Zea mays: one gene and its partner. The protein of the gene in region 1 interacts with the protein of each later gene in a pairwise test. Links are inferred from orthologs where the notes say so. Each region holds a gene or a part of one and is shown in the gene's direction. Other genes may lie near its edges. The genes, in order: IDP798 and WD repeat-containing protein 33.

The links.
Region 2: the proteins of IDP798 (region 1) and WD repeat-containing protein 33 interact in binary tests that used the Arabidopsis thaliana proteins (3 or more experiments, as listed by UniProt). The link is inferred for Zea mays from reciprocal best matches to the Arabidopsis thaliana genes CPSF100 and FY.

Annotation. Positions count from the first base shown.
Region 1 is NC_050098.1:233,409,347-233,419,837, reverse strand, and holds the start of IDP798 (Cleavage and polyadenylation specificity factor subunit 2), read left to right. Parts: upstream 1-4,195; 5' UTR 4,196-4,541; coding exon 4,542-4,690; intron 4,691-5,973; coding exon 5,974-6,142; intron 6,143-6,312; coding exon 6,313-6,409; intron 6,410-6,500; coding exon 6,501-6,627; intron 6,628-6,703; coding exon 6,704-6,819; intron 6,820-7,048; coding exon 7,049-7,143; intron 7,144-7,221; coding exon 7,222-7,373; intron 7,374-7,669; coding exon 7,670-7,727; intron 7,728-7,803; coding exon 7,804-7,911; intron 7,912-8,177; coding exon 8,178-8,430; intron 8,431-9,050; coding exon 9,051-9,229; intron 9,230-9,505; coding exon 9,506-9,601; intron 9,602-9,720; coding exon 9,721-9,819; intron 9,820-10,223; coding exon 10,224-10,355; intron 10,356-10,491. UniProt on the Arabidopsis thaliana protein: CPSF plays a key role in pre-mRNA 3'-end formation, recognizing the AAUAAA signal sequence and interacting with poly(A)polymerase and other factors to bring about cleavage and poly(A) addition. Required for antisense-RNA-mediated gene silencing.
Region 2 is NC_050098.1:151,287,054-151,296,922, forward strand, and holds the start of WD repeat-containing protein 33, read left to right. Parts: upstream 1-947; 5' UTR 948-1,047; coding exon 1,048-1,258; intron 1,259-1,516; coding exon 1,517-1,608; intron 1,609-1,813; coding exon 1,814-1,882; intron 1,883-2,291; coding exon 2,292-2,396; intron 2,397-4,027; coding exon 4,028-4,123; intron 4,124-4,200; coding exon 4,201-4,283; intron 4,284-4,380; coding exon 4,381-4,452; intron 4,453-4,532; coding exon 4,533-4,630; intron 4,631-5,089; coding exon 5,090-5,149; intron 5,150-5,217; coding exon 5,218-5,278; intron 5,279-5,351; coding exon 5,352-5,439; intron 5,440-5,631; coding exon 5,632-5,695; intron 5,696-5,924; coding exon 5,925-6,003; intron 6,004-6,189; coding exon 6,190-6,279; intron 6,280-6,450; coding exon 6,451-6,539; intron 6,540-6,795; coding exon 6,796-7,259; intron 7,260-9,869.

The DNA of each region.
Region 1 (10,491 bases):
CCTCCCTCCTTTTAAAGCCAACTCCCCCTACGTGCGCCCCCAAGCGCCGCGGGCCGAGTCTTCTCCAACACGCTCCAAGGCCCTCCCCTGCGACTCGGGGGCTGGGTCCCGCACGTCATGCAAGCCGGCTCAGGGCAGAAGAAGCCAAACCGCCGCGCATGGTGCGCACGACCGTCCAGCGGTTACAGGCGACCCCCCATTTTCGCCCAGACCAACGGGCGGAAGGGGCGGGCAGCCATGCAGGCGGCATGCAACCACGCCAGATGGACGCGCTTCTCCGACTTCTGACACGCCAGCCTGGAACCCAGGCCCACGCGTCGAGCAACCGGCACGCCAGTTGCTGCATGCAAGCAACCGCACCGCCACTTGTGCCACCATCGCGCCTCTTCGGTTGCGAAGCCTGTGCCACGACTCGAGGCGACCCAACAGCGCCAGACTGGCGCGTCGGTCAAAGCGACCGAAAGTGGGCCAGCAGTAATAGCGGTGGCAGGCGGGCGGGCGCAGCAGTCACGTCGTCAGCCAGGCTCACGTCCCATCCTGAGACAGCAAGGGAGCCTCCTCTCACGGCGTGAAGACGGTGCACCCGTGACCCATTCCTCGAACGGATCGCACGCGCGCAACGACCGCCCCGCCAACCACTCACCCCGTCGCATTAACTCCGCGGCGAGACACGCGGCGCTTCTGGCAGGAGGAGCGCGCGACGCTTCACCTTCGCCGTAATAACCGCGTCAGAAAAGGTACGCCATATCGTCCGATTTCGTATCCTTTTCCGTTTTCCTCTTTCTCTATCTCTTGCAACAGGGACCGGGAAAGGGGGATACCCCGAAAGGGATCCTTCTCCGCGAAGGAACCGGGCTCCGAGCCCCCCATTACTGATCAGGGGTTCGAAGGCTGGCCCCCCGAGGGTTCAACAGTCGCCTCAGATCGCGTGGGCCCGACACCCACTACTGGTCAGGGGTTCGAAGGCCAGCCCCCCGAAGGGCTTCATGGCCGCCTCAGGCCACTCGGGCTCCGCGCCCATTACTGATCAGGGGTTCGAAGGCTGGCCCCCGAAGGGTTCACAGTCGCCTCAGACACCGAGCGAGGGATGACCAGGGGTACGTTCGATACATAACCGAGGCTCGGGCTGCGCTCCCGAGGTACCCTAGGACATTTCCGAGACCAGTGGGAACGATCTTGTAACGGAATCCCATCGGAGGGAGGCATCGAGCCCTCGGACCCCGTCGCCAGGGGACCGGGTCCGGCAAATCACCCGCAGGTACTTTTGGGCGTGCCTCTGGGCCCCTAGCCGACCCCAATGAACGGGGCACGGACGTCCACTCGGATTACCCGCTTGCAGCTCACCGGAGACACCATATTCGGTGCCCATCGAGGGTAACATGGCGCACTCCCCCCCTCCTCCTTGCGGAAAGGCGACGTAGGGGCGTATGTAAAAAGCCGAGTCTGTCCCTGATCGTCCTCTCGCCCTGAGCAGAGGCTCGGGGGCTGCTCTCGCAAAAACCGGCTCCGGCCAAATCGTTGACAGCGTCAACATACCAGCCCGAGAGCTTGGGCCCCGACCGTGCACCCGGGCTACGGCCAGTTCGCATGAGGGAACGACCAGACCAGCCAAAGTATTAAGACCTCGAAGGAGTGTAACCACTCCTCCGAGGCCTCGGGGGCTACACCCGGCGGGTGCGCTCGCGCGCACCCACCGGAACGAAATGCAACCGAGAAAGGCTGGTCCCCTTGCAAAAAAGTGCGACAAAAGCCTCCAAGCGAGTGCTAACACTCCCTTCGAGGCTCGGGGGCTACTGTCGGGGACCATAATTAGGGGTACCCTCAAGACGCCTAATTCTCAGCTGGTAACCCCCATCAGCATAAAGCTGCAAAGGCCTGATGGACATGATTAAGTCAGGGATCAGTCCACACGAGTGACTCGATCACGCTTCACCCGAGCCTAGCCTCAGCCGAAGGCAGCCGACCTCGAGAGACTTCCGTCTCGCCCGAGGCCCCCCTTTTTATGGCGGACACATCACCGGCTCGCCCAAGGCCTTGGCTTCGCTCAGAAGCAACCTTGACTAAATCACCACACCGACTGACCAAATTGCAGGGGCATTTAACGCACAGGAGGCCTGACACCTCTATCCTGACACGCGCCTCCGGCAGAGCCGAGGTGACCGCCGTCACTCCACCGCTCCACTGGCCAGTCTGACAGAAGGACAGCGCCGCCTGCGCCACTCCGACTGCAGCGCCACTCGACAGAGTAAGTCTGACAGGCAGTCAGGCCTCGACAAAGGCGCCACGGCGAACTCCGCTCCGCCCGACCCCAGGGCTCGGACTCGGGCTAAGACCCGGAAGACGGCGAACTCCGCTCCGCCCGACCCCAGGGCTCGGACTCGGGCTAAGACCCGGAAGACGGCGAACTCCGCTCCGCCCGACCCCAGGGCTCGGACTCGGGCTAAGACCCGGAAGACGGCGAACTCCGCTCCGCCCGACCCCAAGGCTCGGACTCGGGCTAAGACCCGGAAGACGGCGAACTCCGCTCCGCCCGACCCCAGGGCTCGGACTCGGGCTAAGACCCGGAAGACGACGAAACTCCGCCTCGCCCGACCCCAGGGCTCGGACTCCGCCCTGGCCTCGGCCGAACGACTTCCGCCTCGACCGACCCCTTGGCTCGGGCTCGGCCACGGCAACAGAAGGCAGACTCAACCTCGGCTTCGGAGGAAACCCCACGTCGCCCTACCTAGGGCACAGACCGCCACGTCAACAGTAGGCGCCATCATCATCCCACCCCGAATCGACTCGGGTCACGGAGAACAAGACCGGCGTCTCATCCGGCCAGCTCCGCCAGAGAGGCAATGATGGCGCTCCACAAGCTCCATGACGACGGCGGCCCCCAGCTCTCTTACGGAAGCAGGACGACGTCAGCAGGGACTCGACCGCTCCAACAGCTGTCCCTCCGCCAGGCTCCGCCGCACCTCCGACAGCCACGACATCACGCCAGCAGGGTGCCCAGATCTCTCCGGCTGCCACATTGGCATGTACCTAGGGCGCTAGCTCTCCCTCCGCTAGACACGTAGCACTCTGCTACATCCCCATTGTACACCTGGATCCTCTCCTTACGACTATAAAAGGAAGGACCAGGGCCTTCTCAGAGAAGGTTGGCCGCGCGGGACCGAGGACGGGACAGGCGCTCTCTTGGGACCGCTCGCTTCCCTCACCCGCGTGGACGCTTGTAACCCCCCTACTGCAAGCGCACCTGACCTGGGCGCGGGACGAACACGAAGGCCGCGGGACTTCCACCTCTCTCACGCTCGGCTCCGGCCGCCTCGCCTCTCCCCCCTTCGCGCTCGCCCACGCGCTCGACCCATCTGGGCTGGGGCACGCAGCACACTCACTCGTCGGCTTAGGGACCCCCCTGTCTCGAAACGCCGACACATGTGTAGCCTCACCACCTACCTGAATCACCTAGTCGGTGAGCTTATTTGCAATCCATAAGGTTGTCTTTAGTGGATCGTGTAAAATAGGGGACACAACACTGTAGACGACGTTGTTTGACACTGCTTGTAGAGTAAAGTTTGAAATAGAGGATGATATACGTGATGGAACAAAGGATCAACCGGAGATGACCTAATGCCCTCCGTGGCTCCCACGATCATGCACACTCGAAAATCTCATGCATAGACATCGATAGACATGGACTAATGTAAAAAAAAGTTCATCCAAAATTATTCAGTAACCCAAGTCAATCACTAATTTTAACATAATTGATGAGTTCTTAGGGAGCCACGTTCTTAATATTTTAGTTCTTCACAAACTTGCAGTCCGAACAATTTTATATGTAGCATACAAGTAAGGGCAAAGAATTTGCTAATTTTGATAGAGATCTAAACTTTGTTCCTACTGCATAAAAATGTAACCAATGGCAAAAATGTCAAAGTAGTCATTTCAGGTAGCTACAACTTTACATAGAGTCTACTCCATATAAAGTTGTGGAGTGGAGCAGCAATTTGTAGAGTGGGAGCCATATGGAGTCTCGCCTGCCAATTTAGAATTCTAGGTCTGAATACCACATCAAACAGACTGGTTGAGTAGATCTCTCATTTCATCATCTATTTTAAACTGTACTATACAAATAATATTGTCATATATAGTTTCGATTTTTCTAATTTACGCTATCTATGGAACACAGTCTCAAACCTACGGCCCAAACGGCGCGCTTTCGGCCCGCGATTCCCTCCTAACAACGGAGGGAGGGAGAAGTGGAAAAAATCGCCTCGCTTGTTGGCCTCCGTCAGCCCGCGCCTCCTTCCTCCGTCCTCCGGCTCGGCGGTCCGCCGCCCTCCTTCATCCTCCGGCTGGAGGCCCTCCTCCACCCCCGCCTCGCGGCCCTACACTCTCGTTGGGTCGGCACCCGTGCCTCCCATTCTCTCCTCTTCTCTCGCTCGAGCGCCGCGGCCTCTGCTCGCTCGGTCGAGGCTGAAGGACGGGACAAAGCGCAGATTGACCACCGGGCGTCGGAACCGCCGCCGCTGCCGCCGAAGGGGTTATAAGATCAGATGGGGACTTCGGTGCAGGTGACGCCTCTCAGCGGGGCGTACGGGGAGGGCCCCCTGTGCTACCTACTCGCCGTCGATGGTTTCCGCTTCCTCCTCGACTGCGGATGGACCGACCTCTGCGATACCTCGCAACTTCAACCCCTCGCAAAGTACACATCTTCTTTCTCTCGTGACTTGTCAGCTTAGCTTGTAGTCGATTGAGTTACTAGTGTGGAAGTGGCTCCTGCGCCCGGCGCACATTTTAGTACTCCTTCCGTCCACAAAAGAAGGCAATTCTCCCTTTTCGAGGAGTCACAAATTGAACTTTGACCATAATTACATAAAAATTACAAACAATTGTGGCACAAAATAAGTAGCATTAAATCGATTTAGAAGTATGTTTTCATAATAAACTTAGTTAAAGACATAAATGTTAATACTATTCGTTGTAAACTTGGTCAAAGTTAAACTAGTTGATTCACATATGTCCCATAGTTGCATTCTTTTGTGGACAGAGGGAATACACCTTTTCGACGAATTACCTCTGGTACTGTTTTAAAGGAGTCGCCTATGTGTCTGGGCAGTGGTCCAACGCCTAGGTGCCTTGCTCGCCTACCTCGCCTAGGCACACTCCAACGCCTTGTCTCGCCATACTGCTTTAAAAACCATGACCTCTGGCGGTGTGTCGGGAGTTTAGTTGGCGCTGTGCTCAGATGGATTGGCGACTGGCCCAATGCAATGCGCAACATCGATTTGTTCAGTTGCATTAATCAAGGGACTAAGGGAGTTGTCTAAATTCTGGCTGATGATTGGTGCCTCTGCGTGACTAGTAGATGGAGAGTAGCTCGTGGTTTCTACAGTCCTAGTTTTTTTTGTGCTGCAACCTATGCTATCTCCATCTTGTTTCAATGATTGACTGATGTGCTTGCACATTTATGTGTGCGTGTTGTAGGGTGAATGTTCACAAATCCATGTCCATCCAAAGGTGTAGTCTCCATCTTGTTTCAATTTATGTATGTGTGAATGGCTATTGTGCCACATCTTCTATGCCTAAGGTGTAGTCTAGTGTAATCGACGCACTTGCTCATATCTGTTGTTTCTTGTAAGAGGATGGAAATAAGTCTATCTGACGCTGTAAAACCATGTAGCTCCTTATGTCCAAACTTTGGCCTCTTTGTGTAACACCATGCCAATCACAGTGCATTGCCTTGTCGCTGATTTATCCTTTCACCATTCATTTTCCCGCCATTTGTTGTAATACATCTTATAGATGCAAGGATGCACTCCATTTTTCTTTCCAAAATCTACACTCAGCAGTTGAGTACTTGAGTAAAGGAGATACTTCCCATCACTGCAGATGCATACATGTCATTGGTGTCAATATGCTATTTATCGTCGTAGCAAATTGATTGTTAGTTTTCACTTACACTAATAGGCACTGTACATTTTTCAGGGTTGCACCAACTGTAGATGCTGTTCTTTTGTCACATCCTGACATGATGCATCTAGGAGCTTTGCCTTACGCTATGAAACACCTTGGGCTGTCTGCACCAGTTTATGCAACAGAACCCGTGTTTAGGCTTGGCCTTTTGACCATGTATGACCATTTCCTGTCTCGATGGGTAAGCGTCATGGTGCTTGATATTTTCCTAGGGCGTACACTTTTCAACCACTCCTTTAAAATGCCATATAGTCTCCTTCCCTCCCTCCCAATATGCTAAAGAAAACTGGACTTCACTTTGTAGTCTATATTTGTTCAGTGTACCCTTACCTGTTAATCTTTCTTTTGCAGCAAGTTTCAGACTTTGACTTGTTTACTCTAGATGATGTTGATGCTGCATTCCAAAATGTTGTGAGACTGAAGTACTCACAAAATTACCTTCTGAATGGTCAGTAAGGTCATGATGATTGTACCTTAACAATGATATACATTGTTTTAGCATGCTACACTGCATCTGCTCACATAATATCTTTTGATAGATAAAGGTGAAGGAGTTGTTATTGCTCCACATGTGGCTGGGCATCTTTTGGGGGGGACAGTTTGGAAGATTACAAAAGATGGGGAGGATGTTGTGTATGCTGTTGACTTCAACCATCGGAAAGAGAGGTTAGTTTTTCTCTTTTTTTTCAGAATTAATTTAGTGTTTTAGGCATAAAATACCAAAATTGTTGTATTTTCCCAGGCATTTGAATGGCACCGTTCTTGGATCTTTCGTGCGGCCAGCTGTTCTGATAACTGATGCTTACAATGCTTTGAACAACCAAGGCTATAGAAAAAAGCAGGATCAAGATTTCATTGGTACATTACTTGGCACTGTATCTGCTTTTATTATTCTGTTTCTTTAGACTTTTGCAGTTTAAGCAGTATTCCTAAGTTCTAGCATCTGAGTTTTGTCATCTCATGATGAAGTTCATTCTTGTTTTTTATAGAGCTCCAAAATGATGGGGTTTTTACCTTTTATATAGATATGTGATGCATCCTAGCCATGGTGTTGTACCATCGTCTAATGCCATCATCTTTCATGCAGAATCATTAATTAAAGTTCTGGCAACTGGTGGAAGTGTGCTACTTCCTGTTGACACGGCTGGTAGAGTGTTGGAACTTCTTTTGTTATTGGATATGGTAAAAATCTCTGACACTATTGCTGGACTCTGTATTCCTGTTAGTTCAATAATGTGCTATCGTCTTGTTATGTTACAGTACTGGGATGAAAGGCGATTGCAGTACCCTATCTACTTCCTGACAAATGTGTCGACAAGTACCGTTGATTATGTCAAGAGTTTTCTTGAATGGATGGGTGATCAAATTGCAAAATCTTTTGAAAGCAGTAGAGCCAATGCCTTCTTGTTAAAGTATGACCTCAAACATAAGTTCTAACTAAACCTTTCGTTGGTTCTTTTTGTGCTATGTTCACTTACAAATCCTCTTTTAATGCATATAATGAAGTCACAGTTTTATATTTTCTCATCTGAGTTGTTCAGTTATTAGAACTTAGAAGTCTACATTTGACCTGTACTTTTAGCTTTTTTAACCAATTCTGCCCCTCAGATTTTGGATATTTGTATTAAATGAACAGGTTTTCAATAATAAATTGTGGTCCATCTGATCTGATTCTATTATTAACAACCTTTGATGTTCAATGTCGCAGAAAGGTCACGCTGATAATTAACAAAGAAGAGCTTGAGAAATTGGGAGATGCTCCAAAGGTTAGGGTAGCATAATTATCTGTTTCTCTTTCTCTACTATACTGTTGGAACCTTGAACTAAACACTTATTTAGTAGGTGGTTCTGGCATCCATGGCAAGTTTGGAGGTTGGCTTTTCTCATGACATATTTGTGGAGATGGCAAATGAAGCAAGAAATCTAGTGCTCTTTACTGAGAAGGGACAGGTACATTCCTGTGTGTTGCTCTTGTCATCAATCTTCACATGCTCTCACTAGTTAGCAATCTGAAATGACATGCCACAGGAAGTATTTAAGCTCCCGAATTATGACTGCTTGAGTGCTGACAGTGCTTGCCCACACTTAAACAAATTGAATATGATTATGAAGCCTCACTTTGATCAAACTACCATTCTTTTAATCCTAATGTTCTTTCACTTACAAGCATGAGTATCATTATACAACTACCTGATCAGAAAATATTTGCTCTCCAGTTTGGGACACTGGCTCGAATGCTCCAAGTGGACCCACCCCCTAAAGCTTTAAAGGTCACTATGAGCAAGAGGATTCCTTTGGTGGGTAATGAACTAAAGGCTTATGAAGAAGAGCAAGAACGGATAAAAAAAGAGAAATCGCTAAAGGCTAGCCTTGTCAAAGAAGAGGAGCTAAAGGCTTCTCATGGATCAAACACAAAGGCTTCTGAGCCAATGGTCATTGATGCAAGCTCATCTCGAAAATCTGTGAATGGTATAACACGCCTAGATGTTAATCTCTCTCATAACTTACCACACATGCAACCATAAAATATTTTATTGAAATGACTTACATGCAACCTTAAATATGGCATATCTGTCGATAATGAGTTCTAGAGTACACTTGCTGTTTCTTTGATTCAGCTCTACTTTTTTTCTGCTTGCTTCAGACAATGGCTTGATCAAGTTTGATGTCACTCTTCATGATTACTAGTTATATGCCCGTGCGTTGCAACGGGGTGGGGAAGCGGGTGGAACGATGACTAGACTACAAATATAATTATTGTTTATTTCTAAACATCAAAATATGTGTGGTCTGATAGTTAACCTCAATTTTCTAGAGCAGTCGGCTTGAGTTAGAGTGCTCGCTTTGCACTATTTTTTGCGCGCGCTGAGCGTGGGGAGGGTGAAGCCGTGGTAGCAACATGTGCCCATATTAGGTTCTTAATAGAGAGTAGTATAGATAACTATATTGAAGTAGGCAAGACAATGCTTATGCTAACATTTCTGCCGTTCCATTTAGTTTCTACAAACTTATGCTGTAAGGTTTATTTCTATTTGATGTGACATGTTATGTATAGTTGACTATCATTCTTTACTTTGTGACACTACCAGCTTCACATTTTGGTGGGAACAATGATATTCTCATAGATGGATTTGTCCCTCCTTTAACCAGTGTTGCTCCAATGTTTCCCTTCTTTGAAAACACTGCTGAATGGGACGACTTTGGTGAGGTCATCAACCCTGATGATTATATGATGAAACAAGAAGAAATGGATAATACTCTGATGCTTGTAAGTTTGCTTATACACCCATGTGGCCACATGCCTCTTGAGTCTTTAAAGTTGATCATATGTAAATTACCTGTCTGTCAGATATAGTTATTGTTCATAACACTGAGTTGCATTGACTGGAAGATGACGGTGGTTTCATTGGATCAAATTAGCCAACTCTGTGTTTTCCTTTGTGATAACTGAGATGTTTTGAACAGAACTGGAAATACATGAAACTCGGTATAAGACGACCATCAATTGAATTATTTTGGGTTCTGACAAGCATGTATTCTTCAGGGCCCTGGAGATGGATTAGATGGTAGGATCGATGATGGCTCAGCACGCCTGCTTCTTGATTCAACGCCCTCAAAAGTCATTTCCAACGAGATGACTGTAAGTTTTTCCCTCCTTGTTTTCTTTCATTAGTTTCTGCATCAATTGCAGAGCTAGATATATGTCTATATACAGATTGAAATTTTACACGTGCGCCGGTATACTGAACATTTTTTCAGGTTCAAGTGAAATGCTCATTGGTTTATATGGACTTTGAAGGTCGCTCTGATGGGCGTTCTGTAAAATCAATTATTGCTCACGTGGCTCCACTGAAACTTGTATGTGAATTTAATTTGAAATATTCTTTCTTGTGCGTGCATGGTTTAGATTTTACACTTTAAACTAAAGAATGCTACTTTCTGGAGCATATTCTTTCTTTGGCGCACACATACTGTTATACTTCTCCATGGCAAAGATAACCTTTTGAATTCTCCTCAATTCCATTTACTTAAATATCTGTGGTACTGAGTCTGACACCAAAGATGGTAGGGTATGCCATTTCTAAGCATTTTTTGGGATGACATGCCACTGCAAAACTTTATTTAAATTGAAAGTGCCTGCTGCTTGTTTGATTAGTTGGCACAAAATTTGAGTGGCCTGGTACTGTTATCCTTGTGGTTAATGGTTGACCTGTACATAGAAAGTTGTTATCTTATGCTGAATCATGCATTACTTTTTGCAGATCCTGGTGCATGGATCAGCTGAAGCAACTGAACATTTGAAAATGCACTGCGCAAAGAATTTAGATTTGCATGTTTATGCTCCACAGATTGAGGAAACTATTGATGTAACATCAGACTTATGTGCTTATAAGGTTAGCATCTTAACTACACACTCTCTTTAAGTACCGAGTAGAACCTTTGCTTAGGAGGTCATGAAGGTCAGGCAACCTATAATATACTAAATGTGCTACTTATCTGATTGTTGGAACAAATGAGGTAAAATCAAAC
Region 2 (9,869 bases), about 82 Mb from region 1:
TCTCGGCGATGCGAAGGAGGGCGAGGAGGCGGAGCACGGAGAGAAGGTCCTGAAAGCAAATGCGCGAGGCAAGCCCAAGACGGCGGAGGCGGAAGAGAAGAGGCGTGAATGGCAGGTTAATTTCCTAAGAGTTTGAGTTTTTTTTTGCAAAACACATCCGCCAAACACGGGCGTGCGAGTAAACCATGTTAGGTTTTAATAACTTTGATTTGATTGTTACCGGTAACAAGGCACCTATGATGATTTTTATAATATCAAGACTTCTCGGTTCAGTCTGAGTGTTTTGAATGTGTTGAAAAGTGAGTCATCATATTACTTTTCAAAATACATGTCTGTGTGAAAATTTAAGATCTAGATAGCATTGCAGAAAACTGTAACGCCCCGTTTGGATTACTGGAATTGAATTCTATTCCAATAATAATAATTTAGGCATATATCAATTAAGATAATTCGTTTTTATATAAAATATATTTGTATACTATTATTAGCAAGATGTCCTACATATTTATGTGCTACATTTTTACTATAGAGGAGTGGAACGAAGAATGTCATGTAAGTTACAGAGTAGAAACAAATTCTACTCATGTATAAAATCATTTCCTATCCTCCACCCTATGAATTTGAGATAAGCTTATATCTGAACTTTGGAAAGTGGTGGAATACCAAATTCTAAACTAAATAAGTTGCTTTATTGAGTGAATTCCAATTCTTTTAAAATGAAGGATCCAAACGTCCTGGTTGCAAGCTAGTTATGCTCACATTCACCGGTCACCACAGATCGCGCCCCGACTCACGACTGGCTCGTTTATAACTCAAGCGGACTTTGTATCGAGCTAGGCATGAAACACGCGCCGCCGGTCGGCTCGAGTTAGCGGCTGAGCTCAAGCTGGGAACTAGGCTCCCTCGACCTCGGCTCGTCGACAGCCGAACCCATCGTCTCACGGACGCCGAACCCAGAAGCCGCCGACCCCTTTCCCGCCGCACGGATCCAAAACCCTAGCCCCTCCTCGGCGTTTTTCCCCTCCCGGCGACGGCGAGGCGGCGGAGATGATGCGGCAGCAGCAGCAGCAGCTTCCACCTCCGCCGCAGCACCCGCCGCCCCAAGCCTCCTCCGCCGCCGGTGGCGGCGGCGGTGGCGAGTTCTACCGCGGCCCGCCGATGCGGCAGCTGTCCGCGGCGTCCTCCACCAATCTCCCGCCCGACTACGCCGCACACCCGGCCCCCCCGTCACAGCAGCAGCATCAGCCTCCTTACGACGGTAACAGCTAAACATTTCATTCACTGGTAGTCGTTGTTCCCTCCATTCTAGGGTCAGGGGAAGAGTAGGTAGATACCTATATTAGGTCGCAGGTATTGCCTTATTACTGCCAGTCCGTATAAACTCAAGAGTGTGAGATCAACTGCCACTTAAAAGTTAAACATACCGGGAGTTTCTTGAGATTTAACTGTAGACTTCTTGGTCCACCTTTGCATATCATAACTACACAAATCACATTGTAATTTTGATTCTCTGCAGCTTATGGTGACAGTTTTGGTGCTAAAAGGATGCGGAAGCCTGTCCAGCGACGAACAGTGGACTACACAAGCAGTGTTGTCCGTTATGTTCAGGTTGTTTGGATTGCTATTTTTTTGTTTGGATATCCATAATCATACAGAGTTTATTTCGGAGGACTCTGGACTTTGATCCTTTAAAGTTTATATTTTTTCTGTTTCTGTTTATATCTTAGTTTGAATTTGTAATGCATGCTTATCATCTGTTACATGCAGTTTCCATCCCATCAGTAGTGCTGATTTCCACTATGTACAATTGCAGGCTCGCATGTGGCAGCGGGACGCTAGGGATAGATTCACATTGCAGCCAACTCCAGCAGCTGTCCTGGATGTATGTTCCTTCACTCGTAATATGTTAAAAAAATGGAGCGGCAGTTGCCTATGCTATGAGTATTGATTGGTTTAAGCTTTAGAAGATAGTACCTATGTTTGATAAATACCTTCATCTGTATGAAATCACGAGCAATCAGATGTTATACGAAATTCTTACGGATTGAAGTGTTAAATGTGAATCTAGCATACAATGGACACAATACTATTGTGCACCATAATAGTGAAGTTCGACAAAAAGTGCATACGAATAATTATCATGCTAGTAATTCTTCAATTAATCTTAACATGGATAGTTACTCTATGTTAGTATGTTATGCAGAAAATCCCGTTAATCCTAATAACCAATCAAAGATCTTGATGACTAGTTCTTGTTACAAACTTATTTTGATAGCTTTAACGAATTGCAGATGTTACCTTCTGTCGCATATCCAGACAATCCCTCAACAAGTTTTGCTGCCAAATTTGTACATTCGTCAATCAATAAGAACCGGTGCTCTATTAATCGTGTCTTGGTGAGTAACTGAGTATTGTAACCTATTTTTCTGCTTTCTCAATAATCCACATTGAACATTTCGCTGTTATGTACTTGTATTCTCAGAAGTCAAGCAACAGCTTGCTGTTGGTTATACATAAATCCAATTAGCAATACCAAGCGATTATACATAAATGCAATTAGCAACACCAAGGGGAAAAATTAGAGTAGACAGTAGAGATACACCATAGAAGAAACTTGAGCTAAGAGAGGGTCTGAGAGACACATTTATCCTACGTGATTGCAGCAAAATACCATCCTTGAAGCCTTTCTTCCACTTACTGAAATCTGATTGCTTTCCTTCAAAACTATTATTGTTTCCTGACCGCGAAGCTAGCTCTATCAGGATTTCTATGAAATGTAATTCATCTCTAGGTGTATATTTCAACCATATGGATTATGGATTACTATTGTGAAGTTGTTATTTTTAAAAGCCTGTAACTGCTTACAGTTGGATAAATATGCTCATTGATATGCCATTCATGATTAACAATAATACAATATTAGAATCTACCACTTATATCCTGGGCTGATCACTAGTCAGAATTTCAAAATTTGCAATGCTACATGCAAATTACTATTGCATTTTGGTAAATTCATCCAAGCCTTGCCTTGTGATCTTGGTAAAAACTGCTACAAATGAGCATTTATTCTTTTATGCATTAGTACACTCAATGATTTCAAGTCGAGCGACTTGCTAGTCGACACACCTGGGCGACTAGGCGACTAATCGCGATTAGGACGACGACTAGGTCGACTAATCGTGGCTAAGGCAGCAGCAGATTGAAGAGGGGATTCAAGAGGGGGGGACAGATCAAGAGAAAGGTGCAGAGGGGATTCAAGAGGGGGGACAGATCAAAAGAAAGGTGCAGTGATTGAAGTTACCGTCGGTTGATGTACTCATCTTGGTGCTAATGGCTGCTGGGCCGCCGCCGCTGCAGACTGCTGTTGGGCCGCCGCCGTCGAGGACGGTGAGCTGCTGACGCCGAGGAGGAAGGTGCAGGGCTGCCGCCACCGAGGAAAAGGGTGAGCAGGTGAGCACATTGAGGAACAAGGAGGGGGCAGAGGGTACCCACCGGTGTTGCACAGGGAGAGGTGAGCCGCCGCACAGGCACAGCCACCTGAACAGGAGAGAAGAGCAAAAAGCCACCGGAACAGGAGAGGAGAAGGTGACCTAAACCCTAACGTGTGTTTTACTGTTACACTAATGGGCCCAGCCGTCCAGCCCATATCCCAAACAGGCCGAAACAGGAGCCCTGGAAAATTAATCGTCCCGACCTAAACTGGACGACTAATCGTGTTTAGTCGACGACTAATCGGACGACCGGACGATTAGTCGAGCTGATCGGGTCGGCCTCCCTAGTCGTGTTAACAGGACCGACTAGTCCGACTAATCGCGACTAATCGCGATTAGTCGGACGACTTGAAATCACTGAGTACACTACAAACCAGGTAAATATTGTCAAGAAACTGTGCTGTCTTATTAATTTTGTCTATTTTAGTTTGTTGATTATGACAATCTGTAGCATAATTATCACTTTAATCAACATCCATCCACTTCTATTATTTTCATCCACTTGGGGTATAATACAATTTTATTTGTGGATAAAGTGGACCCCTACAGGCCGTCGACTTATCACTGGATCACAAAGTGGTGAATTTACGCTATGGAATGGGCAATCTTTTAACTTTGAAATGATACTTCAGGTATTCCACATTAATTATTTTGGACTTACTAATATGTGATAGTTTTAACTTAGTTTTTGGAGAAATCTGACAATCAGGCTCATGATCTACCTGTGAGATCAATGGTTTGGAGTCACAATGAAAACTGGATGGTGACGGGAGATGATGGTGGTGCAATCAAGTACATGTCCCTTCGCTTTCGTACCTTCAAGAAAAATCGTCATTTTGAACTGTACATTGTTTAACTCTTCAGCTGAACCTTTTGAATTCTTCTCCAGGTATTGGCAAAGTAACATGAACAACGTCAAAGTGAATAAAACAGCTCATAGAGAATCAGTTCGTGGTTTAAGGTGATGGCTGTATGATGCACTTTTTATTGTTTGCTACAAAGTTCATGTTCAATGTGTGCTGAAACATGTCCTTCAAACAGTTTTTCCAGGACAGACTTAAAATTCTGCTCCTGCTCCGATGACCGAACAGTGAAGGTTTGGGACTTCGCAAGATGCCAAGAGGAAAAATCATTAACTGGTAATGTTGCTAAAATTTTCTTGCAAATATTAATCTGGCATACAGCTGATTATTTGAAGTTATTATGTGATATTACGCGAAAGGGCCTTTAGCTGTGTTGGTTAGGTGGTCTGAGTAGCACTTCTCAGGTCTTGAGTTTGACTCCCCGTGTGAGCGAATTTTAGGTTGAGGTTAAAAAAACCCTCTCGTCTGTCCCACGCTAAAGCACAGGCCTAAGGCTCGGCCCTGGTCATGGACTCGCGGTCGTTCTCACATGGGCTACGGTGCCGCGGTGTATGGGTGGGCTACGGTGCCGCTGCGTATGGGTGGGGTAGGGGTTCGGGGTTTTCTCGACCTGCGTGAGAAGATCTTCTTAATGTAATACCTGGGGGCTGTCTTACCCCGTGGGTCGAGTTTTTATTATGTGATATTACTTTGTTTTTTCATCAAATAACCTGAATTTCCCTTCAACTCAGCCAGGCCACGGTTGGGATGTTAAAACTGTCGATTGGCATCCTACAAAGTCTTTACTGGTTTCAGGTTAGTATATGTTTGTTCTTGTTTAATGAGTTTATTCATGCGGGACTTATTCAATTCTGTGTCCATAGGTGGCAAAGACTATCTTGTGAAACTTTGGGATGCAAAAAGTGGCAGAGAGCTGAGCTCATTGTCGGTATTCCTGCCACTTCCATATTTTGTTAATTCTTGAAGATCTGTGTTACATTATGATTTATATCTGCAGCCATGGTCATAAAAATATTGTGCATTGCGTGAAGTGGAATCAGAATGGGAACTGGGTACTGACTGCCTCGAAGGATCAGATTATTAAGGTCTGTTGCTTGTTCTTTTGTACTTTGGTCTGTTTTTCTTGTCTTCAAAGAACTGATGGCAGTGTACACGCTATAACCAAAATTCTAGTGCTGTCTATGGAGATGGGCCAATCCATCCTTGTGAGCAAATGATGGCAGTAAATTATTAACTTTTGGTACGTTTGCTAATGCTATCACTAATTCGTTTTGCAGCTGTATGATATTAGATCCATGAAAGAGCTGCAATCCTTCCGTGGGCACACCAAGGACGTCACTGGTTAGATAGCTGTTCCAATATCAAGATTTTTATAATTTATATACCCCTTCACATATTTTAAGCTTCAAAAATTGACACAAGTTTTGGATGTACTAGTTCATTTGTTCATTGTAACCATACATTCTATGATTGTTAGAACAGTGGCTAAAAAATTTCTAGAAAGGTATGGTGCCCACACTTGTTTGCCAAGGTTGTACTGAATATGTATTCGGTTACTTCATTTTTACAGCATTGGCGTGGCACCCATTTCATGAAGAATATTTTGTTAGTGGGAGCTTTGATGGAGCTATATTTCATTGGTTAGTCGGGTAAGGTATCCATAGCATAATTGAAATTACTGATCTTTGTCACCCTTGGAATTTGCTACTTTGTGCTAAGTTATTCAATTCTTTTCACCCTCCAAGATCGACGTACAACTTTTTATGTCTTTTGTTGTCTGAAAATAATGTCTCAAGTCTCAACTTGATGAGCAAGCTGTTTCATTTTTTTGTCAGCCATGAAGCTCCACAGATTGAAATAAGTAATGCACATGACAGTAGTGTCTGGGATCTTTCGTGGCATCCTGTAGGCTATCTACTTTGCAGGTACTTGGCTTGCTTTTGAATTTTGTATTGTAACACTTTATGACATGTTTGCTTATTTTACTGTAATGCATACATAATCTGAATTTATTTTCAATACAATTTGTTTCATTTGTTTAATGCTTTAGTTGTATGTGAACTCATTAAAAATCAAATATTTGATTTATTTTGTAGTGGAGGCAATGATCACGCTACAAAGTTCTGGTGTAGAAACAGGCCTGGTGATCTTACCCGTGATAGATACAACAGTGGCCAAATGCAAGGTTGCCTTTATTTGAATTTAGCTCGTTATTTCATCTCATTTGTCCTGTTTTGGTCATAAAACAATAACATATTAGACATATACTCTTGCACTTGCATGTACATGTATAATTGTATACACCCCCTTCCAATATCACTATTTAGTTCGTCTATTACTTGCTTCACACAGACAGGTGTTTAATGGTGTTTATGTGCTGCCTTGTGACCTTTTCCTTCCAAAGAAGGAATTCTTAATGCATAGATTATGACTTTTTTCAGGTTTTGGTGACCAACATGCTGCTTTTGGTGCTCGTGGTATGGGTGGATTCCAGATGCCTGAACCTCCAATAACGCCTGGACCATTTGCTCCTGGATTGTCACGCAATGAAGGTACCATCCCTGGCATTGGGGTTGCAATGACCTTGGCAGGCCAGTCTTTTGATGGATCTGATGGAGAGCAGAGGCCATCTATTCCGGGTCTTCCACCTGGGCAACCCCCGCTGCCACCAGGTCCTCATCCATCACTTCTTGGGCAGCAACAACAGTATCAACAGATACCTCAGCAGCAACATCCCCAGTTTTCGCAGCCACCACCTCCGAACATGCCCCAACTGCAGGCACCAGCTCACATGCTTTCACATTCACAAGGATCTCGGCCTACTCTTCCCCAGCTTCCACCAATGGGTGGACCATCAGTGCCATCACAAGTGAACCCACCGCTTCCGCCTATGCCTCACCCAACGGTACTGTTCATTGATACCTTTACAACGTTGTTAAACTGAGGGAGGTACAACTGTTTACTTAGCATGTTCTGTCTTTCTATTTATCTGAGCTGATAAGTGATAATCGAAAACCAAATGCCTCGTCTGCAAACCTTGCAAGTTTGCATCAAAAGACCGTTTTCAGTGAACTTGTTTTTTTTTCTCAAAGAAAAAAAAACTCCAATTGACCTTCAAAATTGTTAGCATGTCTGCTTTAGTTTGAGATAAGCATGAATATGTATGAATTTGATATGACACATGAATACATCTGAGTTTAAGGTGAAGAATTGTTAGAATACCCGTTTAGGGTTTGGGTCTTCCCCGTGTAATGACCATCTCACCCCTCTGTAATGGGCCTGGCCCAGTTTACTCAGCCTATTAATACATCACCCAACCCCTGTTAGGGTTAGGGTTCACATTCCAACATGGTATCAGAGAGCTAGGGTTAGTTTTTTTCCTTCCAGCCGCCGGCCCCCAGCCGCCGGCCTCCCTCTCCCGCCGCCGGCCCCCCAGCCGCCGGCCTCCCTCTCCAGCTGCCGGCCTCCCTCCTCTCCCTCCCAGCCGCCAGCTCCTCCCCTGCTGCCTGCCGCCCCTGCAGTTCGCGCCCCAGCCGCGTCCCCCAGCCGCCATTCCACGAGTACTGCGTCTACGCCGCCGCCTGGTCCGCGCGCCACCCGGACGTCTTCGCGTCGGCCTCCGGAGACCGAACCGCGCGCGTCTGGGACGTCTGGGACCCCGCGCCCACGCTCATCCTGCCCGCGCACGACCACGAGGTGCTCTTGCTCGACTGGGACAAGTACGACCCCTCCATCCTCGCCACCGCCTCCGTCGACAAGTCCATCCGCGTTTGGGACGTGCGCGCGCCGCGGGCGCCCATCGCGCTGCTCGCCGGACACGGCTACGCCGTTAAGCGGGTCCGTTTCTAGCCAACACCGCGCCCCAAGCCTGCAGCGACCCAAGTGCCGCGACGCCCGCGCTCAGGCGCCGCCGCCCCCACCGGCAGCTCGCGCCCATCGACCCCGCGCCGTCCAGGAGCACCCGCCCGGAGGACCCGCGCCCCTGCTGTTCCGCGCCAAGCAGCGCCCCTGCTGTCTCGTGCCGAGGACGCCCGACGCCGAGCACCCAGCCGCCCCTGCTGTTCCGCGCCTGGCTGTCCAGTCCGCGCCTCCCTGCGCCGGCCTGCACCGGTCGCCATGAGCTTTACCTAGCCCGCCGCTCTCGTGACTGTGCGTGTCCTCCTCCACGGCGGCCAGCTCATCCGGGGCATGTTCGTGTCCTTCGATCCAGTCTGGAACCCTATTCTTCGGGACTGCGTCGAGGTCCACCCTCAGGCGGGCCGTCACGTGCCTGGACCGCTTGTCTTCCCACGTGCTGCGATCGCCTCCCTAGCGATTGAGCCCGTGTCATCTCCCTCCCTAGTGCCTCTGTCGGGGCACCTTATTTGGCCCTCTCCGCTCACACCGTACCTTCGCCACTTCCACCTCCCCGAACCACCACCGATTGGGTGGTTGACTCCGGGGCCTCCTTCCACACTACCCCCACCACTAATTCGTTACTCCACTCCCATCCACCCCACCCCTCACATCCTACCTCCATCGTCGTCGGCAGCGGTTCCACCCTCCCAGTCACCTCAGTAGGTACATTGGTTCTTCCAGGACCATTCTGCCTTAACGACGTCCTTGTTGCTCCCGGACTGACTCATCCCCTCCTCTCGGTTTGTCGCTTCACTAGTGACAACCAGTGCTCTATGGAGTTCGACCCCTGGGGCCTCACCATACGCCACCTTCCCACATGCTGTGCTCGCTCGCTGTGACAGCTTCGGCCCCCTCTATTCTCTTCACTTGCCCTCCACTCCCCACACCAGAGTAGCCTCATCTCCTATACTTACTACTACCACCACATCACATGCTCTTGCTACTACCACCACCTCCTCCGCCATTTGGCACCGTCGCCTCGGGCACCCTGGACCTGACGTCATGTCCTAGCTTTCTGGCCTCTCCGACATATCATATACTCGGGGCTCTTTTGAGCGCCTCTGTCATGCTTGTCAGCTCGGCTGTCACTCCCGTCTTCCTTTTTCCACTTCCACGTCCAGGACTGTTCAGGCCTTTGATCTTGTCCACTGTGATCTCTGGACATCTCCTGTCCTTAGCCTCTCCGACTACAAATACTACCTGGTCATTCTGGATGACTACTCCCATTTCCTTTGGACTTTCCCCCTTCGGCTGAAGTCCGACACGTTTACCACCCTCACTCACTTCTTCGCCTGGGTATCCACCCAGTTCCGGCGCCCGGTCCGTGCCCTGCAGTGTGATAATGGCCGCGAGTTCGACAACAACGCCTCCCGCTCTTTCTTCCTCACTCACGGCGTCCAGTTGCGTCTCTCGTGTCCCTACACCTCTGCTTAGAACGGCCGGGCCGAGCGCATGATTCGCACCACCACCAACATGATCCACTGCCTTCTCTTTCAGGCGTCTCTCTCTGCCACCTACTGGGCAGAGGCCCTTCATACCGCCACGCATCTCCTCAACCGTCTTCCCTCGAAGGCGGTGAGCCACCCTACACCTCACTTCGCCCTGTACGGCACAGCCC